2 linked regions of the Danio rerio genome follow. The protein of the gene in region 1 purifies or fractionates together with the protein of each later gene. This does not show direct contact. Links are inferred from orthologs where the notes say so. Each region holds a gene or a part of one and is shown on either strand. Other genes may lie near its edges.

Evidence for each region. The genes of interacting proteins can lie anywhere in the genome.
Region 2: the proteins of cuedc1b (region 1) and smurf2 purify together in Homo sapiens (co-immunoprecipitation; 3 studies listed by BioGRID and IntAct, with this or other methods). This does not show direct contact. The link is inferred for Danio rerio from reciprocal best matches to the Homo sapiens genes CUEDC1 and SMURF2.

The regions. Positions count from the first base shown.
Region 1 is NC_133190.1:33,802,090-33,809,701, forward strand, and holds part of cuedc1b (CUE domain-containing protein 1b), read right to left. Parts: intron 5,185-7,612; coding exon 5,057-5,184; intron 4,511-5,056; coding exon 4,384-4,510; intron 1,906-4,383; coding exon 1,680-1,905; intron 1,404-1,679; coding exon 1,335-1,403; intron 1-1,334.
Region 2 is NC_133178.1:24,031,458-24,039,069, forward strand, and holds part of smurf2 (E3 ubiquitin-protein ligase SMURF2), read right to left. Parts: intron 7,016-7,612; coding exon 6,912-7,015; intron 5,123-6,911; coding exon 5,008-5,122; intron 4,397-5,007; coding exon 4,218-4,396; intron 2,339-4,217; coding exon 2,201-2,338; intron 2,115-2,200; coding exon 1,994-2,114; intron 1-1,993. UniProt on the Homo sapiens protein: E3 ubiquitin-protein ligase which accepts ubiquitin from an E2 ubiquitin-conjugating enzyme in the form of a thioester and then directly transfers the ubiquitin to targeted substrates.

The DNA.
Region 1 (7,612 bases):
TTCAAAATTTTAAATGGTCCAGACCAAAAATGTTGTTTATTTGGGTTATGATTCTGCACCAATAGGACTGAAAAACCTGACAGTCCCATTTGCAATGAATATAATCCCCGATATTTGATTTGCATTTAACGCATAGAGGTGAGTGGGTTGCATTGAATTTATGTCTTAATTTAGTTGTGATATGAATTCTATGAAGGATTCTGAGTTGAACGGCTCTGGCCCTGTTGCAAACTGAAAGCTTATTGGCTAGAGACCAAACCATCTTCCATTCAACATTTTTAAATTCTATTTATGTAAATGTGTGTAAATACATTTTATTCAGCTTTTACATACAATTTATTACTATTATAAAATAATATGCAACTATTTAGATGATTTAGGTGCAAATATAACTTGTAAAGCAGTATCTTCAATGCCTTTTAGTGGATGTATTATATCTATGGGACAGCTATGGCTATGTTTACCCAAGTATCAGTTTTAAATTGTATTTATGTAAATGTGTGTAACTACATATCCATTCAGTTTTTATACACATTTTATATCTATTATTAAATAATATGCAAATATTTCAACAATTTAGGTACAAATACAACTTGTAAAGCTGTATTTCCAATGCTTTTTAGAGGATGTATTATATGAGAGAGCTATTATGACTTTCATTACCCATGTAAATGTTTTATAAATTGTATTTTTTAAGATCTCAGCTCTTTTACTATAATTTTCTGCACAGAAACAACAAAAAAGTCTGTCTATTCTGTCTGGCCAATGTATTTTTCAGTGAGAACTCTTTTCACATTGGACGATTTTGACTCAAAGACAGGTCCAGATATTTAGCATGCAAAATATTTCATGAATTCTCTCTGATCATGTCTTTGATAATTCACGCTGCATGACTCTTAATAAGTTGAACTGCCTCAGATTTCAGAAATTTGCTGGCAACTTCACAAAACCGCCAGCGAGTGAAAGCTGGCTAAAATCATGCAGTGTGAACTTGGCATTATAGTTTCATTCTGAAGGCCTGTAGAAGTAATTGATAAACATCCCATCAGATTGGTTTTGAGAATCTAAGAGTACATGGATCCTTTTCACAATATTGTTATCATTATGTTTTTTTTCCCGAAGAGGTAAAGGAAAACATTTCTTTTTTTAAATACACTCTTATCAAATAAACTTGCCCTCAGTGTGGAAAAAAACCTTTGAGAATACTATTGTGGACAAACTAAAACATTTCCATATGAAAGGCTCAAATAGGGGTGCTTAGAAGTGTTAAAAAGGGAAAATAATGCATATGCACAGACACGCCAACATGCACAGACACAGTGAATGATATCTACCTGAGGAGTTCTCCATGCTAGCTGATGAATGACTGGATTTGGATTTCTTTGACTCGTATTTCAATCGATCTAAAACACAGAAGGCAGGTGTTATGGTAAGAAAACTATACCTTCTTCATTTAAATAGGATATGAACGTCTCGATGACTATTCATATCAAATAATTAGTGTGTATGACAAAGTATAACAATATCTCGCTGTGTGAGGAAAAACCAAAACAGTCAGTGTCTACGAAATTAGCATAAGAACTGACTTTGTGGAGGTGGATCTGTGAAAGGATGGGGAAGTGGAGTATGTCAGAAAGTGCTCATTGTCTGGTTTAGTGTGTGGGCGAGAGTCTTCCTACCTCTTTCCAACGCAATAAGGAACTCACGGTTCCTCTGCAGCTCCTTCATGAACTCTTCGTTTTGCAGGAAGAGAGCAATACGTTCATCTTCCAAATATTGCTTTAGTTTGCGCTCCTGCTCTGAAGCCCCGGCGGCTGTTCCCGCTGCAGCCACCACTTTCTGGGCTATTGTGGTGGACGAGGAGGAGGTGGAGGAGGAAGGGTTAGAGGTGCTACTCTGAGAGCCCTGCAAAATATTGAAGAGAGTAAAAATTACTCTCATACAAAATTCAACAACTTGAAAAACCTATCAAACTTAACAACCAGGCTTGGTCGGATCCTCATAGTCAGGATGTTGTACATAAACATAAAATATTTTAAGAAAGTTGTCTACTGCAATGAGATTATTTTTTTAGATAGCTCAAGTAAAAAACCCAGTTTAATTAAATGATTCATTCATCAAAGACATAATATATCAAAAAGGGTTTCCACTTTTATGAACAGCAGATTCAAGGACTTTTTAAAGCACCATTAAAGATGCAGTAGGTGATTGTCTTCAGAAGCATTTTTTGTTGTGCTGGTTGAAAGTCTCTTCACAGTCTAATAGTAATGATTAAAGTAAATGATCTAAATGTATTTATAAGGGTTTTTATATTTTGGTTAAGGCATAAAACTAAAAAATGTTCATCAAATTAAATAGAGTCGGGCCGACATCTCTCATAATTCTGTCAGCAAATGCAGATTTGAACAACTGCGCAGACGTTTGTACGCATCTCCGCCGATTGCTGTTTGTGTTGTGCATTCATGTGAGAGGGAGAGAGAGCATGCGAGATCGGTAAAAACCTGCTGAATCAAAACTTTTTAAAAACCTGAATCAGTATTGGAGTTACCTTTGCACCCTGGAGAAAGGATGACACCATGGCTGAAGGATTTCTTTTAGACAGGTAATGTTCTGTTTTAAAACTGTTTTAGCTTCACGCAAAGCTGATGTAACGCTAGATGTTGTTGTCACAAATGGGTTACATCTTCACAGAAGTTTTTCAGCCACTAAAATCTTCCGATGAAAGATTGATAAGACTATTTTCAGTTTGATAAGGGACCTTTTACAGCATAGATAATGTAGATTTTAATTAGTTTAACAACAAAACACAAGTAAATACCGCTATTCCGCCTAGTCTCTCCCTATATTGTTTACCATGCAACTCTAAATATTCGCTCTGAAATAGCATGTCAGTTTGGCTTAGTAATGAGTGTAATTCCGGTTTCCCCCACAGTCCAGACATGCAGTATAAGTGAATTGAATAAACTAAATTGACTGTAGTGTAAGTGTGTGTAAACGGGAGTGTGTATGATTGTTTCCCAGTACTGGCATCCGCTGTGTAAAACATGGATGCTGGATAAGTTGGCGGTTCATTCCACTGTGGCGACCCCTGACGAATAAAGGAACTAAGCCGAAGGAAAATGAATGAATGAAATACTATATCATTTAAACAGCCTTTTTATTATTTAAAAAAATGAACACATGCCATTTTAATCTTACACAAAGCTCAATTACCATGCATTTTCCCATCTCTCTGATTGGCAGGATATAATTGGTCATGTTAACAAGCTGTTTTTAACTCTTAAAGTGCTGGTATCTATTGACTTGCATCTTATGACAATTTCAGCTAAAAATCTACTTTAATGTTAAAAAAAAAAGTTAAAACCTACACCTAGATGGTCCGGAGGTGACTAAAAATATCTTTTTATTGGAATGAAAATATGCCTTATTTATTTTTTTTACAATATAACCTAGACTACTTTAATACTATTAGAAAGTCACGGCTACATAGTGAACAGAAAAACATTTGATTTGTATTTGAATGCTCATCATATGCAAGATGACTGCATCTGTACAACGGAACAAGAATGTCATTAAAGTTGATAAAGCCATTCAGAAAGCAAGAAATGGAATAAGAGCTTAAAAGCAAATGCTCATTGGTCTCCCTGCTGCACCTCTTTACTGCATTAGCAAGTTTTAATGACCTCTAATGATGTTTCTGAACCATTCACAGCTCTTTAATATCATTGAATAGCAAAAGAGCTTGAGCAAAATCAAAAGGCAAAAAAGTTTTGGCACCAAGCATTGTCATGATTATTAGAAAGTTTAAAAGAACTTAAAACTTCTGTGAAGTGCTTTGAAACATGCATTTATTTATTTATTTGAAATCTGATGTAATCACAACTCAAACATGAAGAGATGGCTAAAACAGCTAATAGCTTTTTGATTTTATCATCGCTCTGTCAGTGAAAGAGGTTGAGATCATGTGCATCAAATGAAAGTGTCTTGAAGGGGGCAGGACATGTCAGATACTGTAGAGCATTCGATTGGTCAGAAGATTTGATGAGAAACTGAAGTATGAGGTCATGTCAAAACAACTCAAAAAGTTGATTCATTTAGGTGGAAGTGACAAAATGCAAGCTTTGGATGTTTATATGAGGTTCATATATTCTAAATGTAAAATTTGTCACTGTTTTGGAGTACACCAGCTTTCAGATAGCCTTAAAACTACATACTGATACTAACATCTAAAAAAATCTTTATTTTAATTGCACAGGACCTTTTAATAAAATATGTTTAGTGACACTATAGATGATGTTGGATTATAAAAATAATTTCACACAATTTTGCAGAAAAAAATACAGTGATTTTCTTCAAACGGGTTTCACTTCCATTAATGCTCACCTGTATACTGTCTAACTGTTGAGGCAGGATTCGCAGGAAGTCATCAGGCAGATTGCCAAGTAATGGTGGGTTCCAGTTTTTGTAACCTTGTACTTGCCTGTGTCCAGGGGGAGGCTGGGCCTCAAATCTGCAAGATAACAGAGCCCAGTGTCACTGACCCTCATTTTATTAGCACATTGAAAAAAATGATTTCTGCAAAATTGTTGTAAACAATTTTTATTTGTTGAATTAAAACAAACAAATTACATGTAGTAATTTTTAACTTAATTTTTTGTTTAAATTCAGCCAAAATAAATTGTTTACAACCACTTAATGTAAAAAAAAAAAAGTAAATCCAAGGAATCATCTTTGAATAATTTTTTTTCAGTGCAGCTCTCAAATTTCACAATCGTCATAATTCAATTACAGCTGCTACAACGTGTGTGACCCTTTCAGTACTCGTGCATTCATGAGTATTACATTCATGGATAAATAGAATTACATGCTTAATGGTGATTACACCACAAAAACAAGGCTTAACGGGAATTGCTGTTTGTTTTTTGAACACCAGGGGGCATCAATTACAGAACTGTGACTAAAGGAGACCCCATCTGCTTTTCTGAGTCTGGATCATTTTAAAGTCCCTTTTTGTTGGAGGTGGAAATAAATATAAGTAAATAACATTTCTTTTTACCTGGGTGGAGGAACAGGAGGAGCTTCAGGGTATTTCCGGTCATATATATGCATGTCATATGTTGGTGGTGAATAGACAGGTGGTGGCTCTTCATCTGAGCTGTCTGGCTCGAGGGTTCGTTCAAGAATCTGATTTAAAAAAAAAAAGAAAGAAGTCAAAATGATTGCAATTAGCAGCAACAAGAAACTTTCAAAATGAATCTACACAACACATTTACTCGTGTAACATTAGCCAGCCATAAAACCAGTAATGGGAGCAATGCAATTCTTTACTCTTTTTTTTGGCAGCAGGTCGATAGTAGTATTGAATAGTATTGGCTTAAATCTAATTGTTTTAATTGAGTTTGTTAATATTCAAATTTAAAAAAGTCAACAGTAAATGGCTGTTATGTAATACAACAGCTTTTTCATTATACTGCAGATCAATGCTTGCTGTGTATTCCAAAGCATATGCAAAATTTATTCCTGCATATGTATACCTGAAAAGGAACTGCTTCTTAGACAGACAGACAGACAGACAGACAGACAGACAGACAGACAGACAGACAGACAGACAGACAAAACAACAGAACAATTAATAGAACAACAGAACAAAAGATAGAACGATAGATAGAAAGATAAATAAAACGATATAACAAGATAAAAAGATAGAATGACAGAACAATAGATAGAATGATAGATAGATAAATAGATACATAGACATACAGAATGATAGATAGAACAATAGATAGACAGACACAGACAAACAGACAGACAGACAAAACGATAGAACAATAGATAGAATTACAGAACAATAGATAGATGGATGGATGGATGGATGGATGGATCAATGGATAAACAGATAAAACGATATAACAAGATAGAAAGATACAATGACAGAACAATAGATAGAATGATAGACAGACAGACAGACATAATAATAGATAGAATTATAGAATGATAGATAGATAAATTAATAGACAGATACACATAGACAGACAGACAGACAGACACACATAGACAGACAGACAGACAGACAGATAATTGGAACAATAGATAGAATAATAGATAAATACATAGATAGAACAATAGACAGACAGACATAAAAAGATAGAACAATAGTATAGAATTACAGAACAATGGATAGAACGACAGATAGAACGATAGAACGATAGAACGATAGATAGATAGATAGATAGATAGATAGATAGATAGATAGATAGATAGATAGATAGATAGATAGATAGATAGATAGATAGATAGATAGATAGAACGATAGAACAATAGATAGATAGATAGATAGATAGATAGATAGATAGATAGATAGATAGATAGATAGATAGATAGATAGATAGATAGATAGATAGAACGATAGATAGAACGATAGATAGATAGATAGATAGATAGATAGATAGATAGATAGATAGATAGATAGATAGATAGATAGATAGAACGATAGATAGATAGAACGATAGATAGATAGAACGATAGATAGATAGAACGATAGATAGATAGAACGATAGATAGAACGATAGAACGATAGAACGATAGATAGATAGATAGATAGATAGATAGATAGATAGGTAGATAGATAGATAGATAGATAGATAGATAGATAGATAGATAGATAGATAGATAGATAGATAGATAGATAGATAGATAGATAGATAGATAGATAGATAGATAGATAGATAGATAGATCTCAGATATGCAGTACAGCACATGCACATACTATTCCAACATATCACCATATAAACAGAGTACTATAAATAATGCAAGAGAAAAAAATAGACCATAGGGGAATGTCTAAAAGCAATGAGAGCTGCAACACTCATAATCGTAGCAGAACGTATAAACAAAATGCACTGCAGTTTATGCTTCACTTAGGATCGCATCGAAGTCTAATGGCAGGGAATCTCCACTGGGCCATGAAGCAGACGGTTGCGGAGACACAGACAGATAGACCATAATGTGTCTCACATTCCTCTCCAGGCCCAATACTGACACAGTTCTCTTTTTATCAGAGCAGTCGAGTGTAAAAGAAGGATTGTGGGTAAGAAACTTATTGATTATTACACCATGCTTAAAATAAGCAGGTGTGAGAGAATGAAAGACAAAAGACACTTAAGACTTGGACACAAATGACTTAGGCATGAATGAACCAATTCTATTTTATTGAAAATGACAGTTTGCTTTTAAATTAGATTTAAGATGTGATTATGGGGGAACGATGTGTTATAATAATAACATTATCTACAGTTGAAGTCAGAATTATTAGACCCCCTTTGATTAGATTTTTCTTTTTTGAATATTTCCCAATTGATGTTTAACAAAGCAAGAAAATTTTCACAGTATGTCTGATAATATTTTTTCTTCTTGAGAAAGTCTTTTGTTTTATTTTGGCTAGAATAAAAGCAGTTTTTAATTAAAAAAATATTTTATGGTCTTTTTTTATATAAGCTATATTTTTTCGATAGTCTACAGAACAAACCATCGTTATACTATCACTTGCATAGTTACCCTATCCTGCTTAGTTCACATAATTAATCTAGTTAAGCCTTTAAATGTCACTTTAAGC
Region 2 (7,612 bases), on another chromosome or scaffold:
ATTACTGGTCAAAGACTGTAAACAGAAATGACCTCCTACATTTATGCACCGAATGAGGGATGTAAGGAAAGATGTGGAAGTGGAGAAAATCAGATTCTCCCAAATAAAAAAAGACAAATTCTTTCAAATCTGGCAACCTTTATAGATTTTTTTTAAGTTATACAGGAAATATTTAAATTGAAGAGGATTATACTAAGTTATATTAAAAATAAAGGCCAGCATTTATTTATTAGTTTTTATTTATTTTTCATTTTATTATTTATTTAAAAAAATACTACCCTCACCCTTTGATAGACTAGACAGATTACAGTTTGGACTGTAGAGGTAGAGTAAATACACTTTATACATCACTTATAGTATCACACTATTTAAATATGATAATTGAGGGCTTCTGGAAGAGAGAACTCAATATAGTTATTGATCAGGATTTTGTCTGGGAGAACTGTTTTGTAACTTCAAAAAACCAGTTCACCAAATGATTCATTATGAATTAATGTTTAAGCCTTATGCTACCCCTTACCTGTTAATTCAAGTGAAAAGAAAATCAGACCCTTTTTGTCACTTATGAAACAACTCTACACTAGCTACCTATTTACATATGTTCAGAGAATGTCCCCAAATTGCATTATTCTGGTCCAAAGTACGAGACCTACCATCAGATCTAATGGAAACTTAGATCCAATATAACCCATTGCATTTTCACATGCTGGACGATTCATCACTCTCCTTATCCATCAACAAAAGTGTCATGATCATCAGCGATCTAACCTTCATAAATCGCTTGAGAACATTCACATTTACACGGACTAAAACCCTGTCAATATTGTCATGCAACATACACACAACATACACACACACACCTGCTTCAAGTCTCCATTGATTACACTTATACAGCTGATGCTGCTCAAGTACTGATTACATGCACATTTATATCAGCTCATTTTGACACACTCCTTACTGAGCCTTGTTTATCTGTGAAGTTAACACTACGACACGTTTTCCTTGCCTTGTTGTGTTGAGACCCTCGCCTTGTTTGTTTCTTTACATTGTCTGCTGCCTGCCTTTTGACAATCTGCCTGTTGACTGACCTTGAGTCTGGATTGCCTATATACATCGGTCTACCCCTGTGTTGACCGTTGCTTGTCTGACTATTCTTAATAAACCTGCATTTGGATCTGCACTTTGTTGTTGTCAGCGACTCTCTTATGACACAAAGAAGGATGTTGTTCTGACTGCAGCAAAAAAAAAAAAAATCCTAAAAATATGGCTGGATCCATCTGCTCCGGCTGATCTAACCTCGAGGCTCTATCTAATGGACTTTATTAGTTTGGAATACACCACAGGCAAAATAAATGGTGCCAAACTGTACATTAATTTCCTTTTCGGCTTGGTCCCTTTATTAATCTGGGGTCGCCACAGCAGAATGAACAGCAGCCAAACTGTACAATTTTGGTTAAATATGAAAGAGAATGTATCAGATATGTTTGAATCATGATTTTATACCTATTATTGCAGTATTACTATTTTTATTTTATTTTACTTTTTTTTTTGGTTAAATCTTGGGCTTTGTTTGAAATCAAAAATGTTCAATAAAAATATTTACATGTATTTATATATCATTTTTTACTTCCTTATGTACTGTTGGTATATTACATCTTTTATTGTTAATTGTTGTGTTTGTTGGACTAAAACTTGACAATGTGTTTGAATACTTAAAAAAAAATAAAGAAAGTTTATTCAATTTCTGGTCAAATGTTAGTGTAAGAATAGTCTATCATGACTGCTTTTTTAAATTTTGTTGAATACCGTTTCTTCAGGAGCCTTGTTCAGGGTTTAGAGCAGGGTTACTGGTCTGACAGTAGAAATGCAACATGAGTTTTGCCTTAGAGTTTGAGCTCTGAAGCCATTGGCCCGATTCCGTAAGCTACGGCTCTCACTGACACAGCCCAACACCTATTGAACATACATTTATAAAGGATTGGTGTTTTTATACCTCCAGTTCTTTCTCATCAAACGCTTTGAGCAGGTGTTGTGGAATGACTTCGTTGAAGCCTTTCTGCAGGGCCAGGAACTGAGCCTCGATGCCCCTCAGGAACCGCCAGTTCACATACAGCCTGCGCAGAAACAGGACATTTGATGACACCCACAGACAAGCATCAGAAAAGCAGGACTGAGAGGTTGACAGGTGTGAATATCTTACCTCACATACTCCTTCTTGGTGTCCTGCGTGACTGGAATGCTCTTGCCATTGGGTTTGAGCTCATGCTGAATGATCTCTCCATATGCATTGTGTTCAACGCAGAACGTGTGGTCCAACACCCCGGTGATGTCATTATCTCTGAACACAAAAACAGATAGAGGAAAAATAATTACTATTAATAGTGCACACACAATTATATATTCATGTATGTATATTAAAGTGATTAAAATATACTATATCATTTGCATAATTTTCTATGTATGTACATAGGGATGTCCAGATCCGATCACGTAATTGGAAAATTTGGGGTAGATCACACGCTTTCAGACGTTAATTCTCATTATTTTTTAACACATCTATAGTTTATGCGGTGGCACAGAGTTAGACCTCTTCCTTGACAGCAACGCGTGCAGCATGACATTACTTTGTTACAGAGACGCTATTGGTTAAATGTCAGCAAAGTAGAACATACTTGAAGCGCAAAGCGCGAGTATGTCTGCGGTCTGGAGGTATTATAAAGTTGATGAAGACAACATTGCTATAGAAAACTGTGAGATATGTAAACTTGGAACTGTCTTCTGGGTATTTTAGAATGAGATGCTATTTGTTTTATATTAGTTTTTGTTTTATATTTACTGTTGCACTAAAGTCCAAAAGTGAAGAATTGATGTTATTAATTAATTGATTGTTCAAGCTACTTCACAGAAGTGCTCTATTTGTTAACAGATTTGTTGAATGTCAAAATAAGGTTAATTACAAAAAAGGAACATCCTGGATCTGTTTCTTTGCTCTTCTTTATTCTTTTTTATTTTTCATTGAAGTATTAGATCGGGTTTCAGTATCGGTAGACACGAAATCAAATGACTCGGACTCGAGGGCAAAAAAACCTGATCGGAAAATCCCTATATGTACATATATCTGTTATGTGTTTTTATCCCTTATTTGCCACTGGATTTAATATTTAGATAATTACATTTTCGTATAAAGCAACCTGGAATTCATAACTGCATTTTAGGATCATCTAATAACTACAGTATTTTCTATAAAAAATGTTATTTCTTTCTGTTTGCCATTTAAATGTTTTAACAGCTTATTTTAAAACACCCTTTAGTTTTAGAAGTAAATTGATATGTTTTAGATTTAGTTATTTTATTTTAAAATTAGCCGATAAAACATGCCTTTTGCAACTGGTTGAAATGTAATAAAGTCTCTCGCTTGAAATTTAATTAATTTTAATAATTTATTCTTATTAACTTTCTTTATTTATCTGGGGTTGACACAGCGCCAACATATGTTTTACGCAGTCTTTCCAGCTGCAACCCATCACTGGGAAACATCCATACGCACTCATAAACTATCTTTGGACTGCGGGGGAAACCGGAGCATCCGGAGGAAACCCACGTGGTCACAAGGAGAACATGCAAACTCCACACAGAAATGGCAACTGACCCAGCCAAAGCTCGAACCAGTGACCTTCTTGCTGTGAGGTGATCGTGCTATCCACTGCACCATCGTGACACCCCCATTTAATGATATATGCAATTAGACAAAATAATAATTATGGCTATGATATAGGCAACCTCCCCCCCATACTCTTTACCCCCACTCTCTTTTATGTATGCATTTTGGTTTGGTTTATTTACTAACATAATTTACATTAATAAGATGTACCCTTGAGGTATTAATATGGGCTTTTTACTTAAAAGTTTGTAACTTTAGAAAAGGTACCACACAAGTGACAGCTCGGGTACCTTTATTTCTGAGAGTGTATAATAACAACATTACATCAAATTAATCCTTCTATTTTAGTTAACTACAATACCTTTGTTTTTGGAAAGACACTTATGCGAGATTTATATACTCTAAATGTTTTATTAATTTTTTATATTAAATTTAATGATATTATTGGTAAAATACTCATACTATATTACTAGTCTATTAGTAATTACTACTAATAATACTACATATCAAAGAATTCATCATGCATGCAATAGATGGATATGTTAAGCACACTGACAGGATCCAGACGAGGCTGTTGTGCAAGTCCGGATCCACTGACTCCATGTCATCCAGAGTGATAGGTTTGCCTAGCAACTGCTTGTAGAAGGGCAGAGTGAAGCCCCCGTCTATATAGTGACCATGGAAAACAGCCATTCCCATAATCCTCCCCACAAAGTGGAAATAAGACAAATGCTCCTATAAAACAAACATAAAAACATGTGAATTTTGTAAAGCGCTTGCATTCTAGACAGCTGCACGATATTGGAAAAAATCTGATATTGTGATATTTTATTTTTCTGCAATAAATATTGCAATATAAATACGGTTTCAGATGATGGTTTGAATAGCACTATTAGATGGTTTTCTGGGGATTTGCGCACAGAAATGGAATAAATCACAATGCAAAAAATGCCTTTCTTACTTTGTTTTGTCTTGTTTCTAGTCCAAAAATCAAAAAATTCTTAGACCAAGTAAAATATTGTTTAGTTTTCACTGATTTTGCTTGTTTTAAGGAAAGTATCTGCCAGTGGGGTAAGTTAATACTATTGTTTTTGCTATTAAATGTAGATATTTAGACTAGAAACAAGAAATGGCCTTTGCAACTCAAAGGCAGAGTTAGAGTTAGCAGAGTTATAACTGTAATTGAGATTTATAATTGAAATCACACAAGCATAAATTGATATAACAAATTAGGTACTATAAAAGAAACACTTTATATTTTTATAAAAAGCCAATCTCAAAATCTCAGCAGTGTCTTGTCTTAAGAATTATCAGTGTAGTTCAGAAGCTCGTGCACTTTCACTCACTGGATTGACAGCCGAGTCCGGGTTGATCTGTAGCGTGTAGATGTCATCTCGTGAATACTGGAACAGCCCATAGTATGGATTTAACATCTCGTGTGACAGCAAGTATAACCATTCCCTATGACACAAAAGCGCACAAACATTGGCACAAAATATTGACAGACATAAATCCACCATGACCCAATTTCACATCGTTATACTCTTATTCTACCACTAGATGGAAACAAGAGCCTGAAACAAAACATTTTTGACCCATTTTAACTTTCAGAATATTCAGCTTTTATATTAATGAAACAGAACATGATTCAAGAGCTGATTTAATCTATTAAGAATTGATTGTACTATGAAAATGAATAACATTATGGGTTAACAGGTTTCACTTTTGAAGACCTCAATGTATCATTAGGAGCTACAGTTATTAATTATGTTTTGTCTTTGAGTTTTTTCGGGACTCTCAAAGAACTTTAATAGTGACACTGGATGATCTATATTTGTCTAGAACTTTGGTTACTTTTCTTAATTGTAGTGTAAATAAACACACTGTTTACCCAGTAAAAAACAGCTCAGTTCAAAGGGACCCATTATCGACTGAAAAAATGCAGAACTTTGTTAAAACAAGGCTTTTTAAATGCTTTTGTGTTGTTACGAAGCATTTTGTTTTTAACCATACTTGAAATTATAGCTGACAAGCATTAAAATGCTGTGGGAAGTCATATTATTGACAAATCACTGTAAATATTAAGCTAAAGTTTTTATTAAGTTTATATAAAATCAAGAATTTGATGTGCAAAAGTGTCATATGTGCCAGAGAAGGAGTCTTAAGGTCTGCCTGCATTCATTCATGCTTCTTGTACAGAGCTGCATTGACATGAAACTTCTTTTCAAAGTGAAGTGCAATCTTGGATTGGAAATATTTACATCTTACATGCATCTTTGTAGACTCTCCTTTATATTACAGAAGTGAAATGCAAGGTTACTGTATTAAAAGTCTTTTTATGAATATGGCAATGTGATAACATGCTTTAGTATAATTTAACATATAACACATTTGTGCTTTAAGTATTTAACCAAATACTTGAAACAATTTGAATGGATCTGAGATGTGTTCCTGTGCATTTTTTATACTAATCAAAAAGAGAGAATCCAGAAGGCAAAAACATTTTTTTTATCGTCATGCAGTGATTCAGCTTTCTTTTCATTGTATTCATTGTTCACATACTGCACTTGTACCCAAACAATGATTAAGCACACTGTGCATGTTCTCTGAATAGGATGCATTTGTTCAAGATATTACAAAATATAGAAATGCTGTATACAAAATCAAGCATGGCCTTAGGATCTATAACAAACGAGTCATACACGCATACAAAACATTGCCTTTTTTTAAAGCCAGGTTAAAAACCCAGGAACAATTTGATGATTAACAAGGTCTTCCAGCTATTTAAGATCATGTTTTTCAACATGCTAAGCACAATTCTGACAGCTTTTTCCATTTAATTGATGGTGTCAGGAATGATATTTATGTCAGTGGTGAAATGAATCTGCTACTATATATGAAAATATTTATTTTTTTCCTTGAAACAGACAAAGGCCTAATCAAACTAAGATATAACTATCCCACATTTAATGTCCTTTTGTTATTTAATGTGGGACTTAAATACACTTTGTTATAAAAAGCACAGTAAAGTGACACTTTTTTTTTTTATAGTTTTGTTGCCATATTGTTTATGGGTGTTTTTTTAAGGATTAGTTTAAAGTATAAAATACATCCAGAAGGCTTTTTTAATCACAGAATAAAGCCAGACAGGCTTATTGACAGCCCGATGCAAAGCAGAACTGTTGTTCAAGACTGAACCTTTCACTTTTGAAAGTTTGAACATTTGTGATAGTGTAAAAAAAACACATACCTGGCGACTCCACCATAGTCAAGACCTTCCTCTCCTCTGAATTTGACCATCAGCCTCTTCCACAGGTCCTTCGGCCTCATCTTCATCACCTGCCGGTAAGACTCCTGAGGAAAAAGTGAAACACAGAAATTTTTACATGACAAATCTACTATTTTTGTTGATGAAACAGGGAAAAAAGAGAACAGAAATCCACAGATTTTTAGCCCATCGAGAATTGATTTACTTGTGTAAATGTTTGTCATTTTTTATTTATTCAGTTTTTAAATTAATTTCAGTAATTTTGACTAAGATTTTGACTAATATTAAAGTTATCATTTGATTTATTTACAACACAGTTTGTAAAGTAATATTGTCTGTGTTTTAGTAGAGATATTACATGAAAGAATTGATTCGTTGACCAAATAAATGAGTCTAGATGGATTTGCATTAAATTTTATTAAATAAAAGTTAAAAAGCGATTATTTTATATTTCATATATTTAAGTTTTTAGATTTGATACTGCAAAATAATTCTGCATGTGAACATAAATGAACAGATTTGTTGACAAAATTCTCTGCAGATATAGTAAAAAATGTCGGCATAATCTGTCTGGCACTACTTATGTGATTTTATTAAAATGATGTCACAATTTATCCAGTTCTCTCAAGACATATTTTGGTTTGACGTTTGCAAAGTGGATTACGATGTAAATTGTCACCATA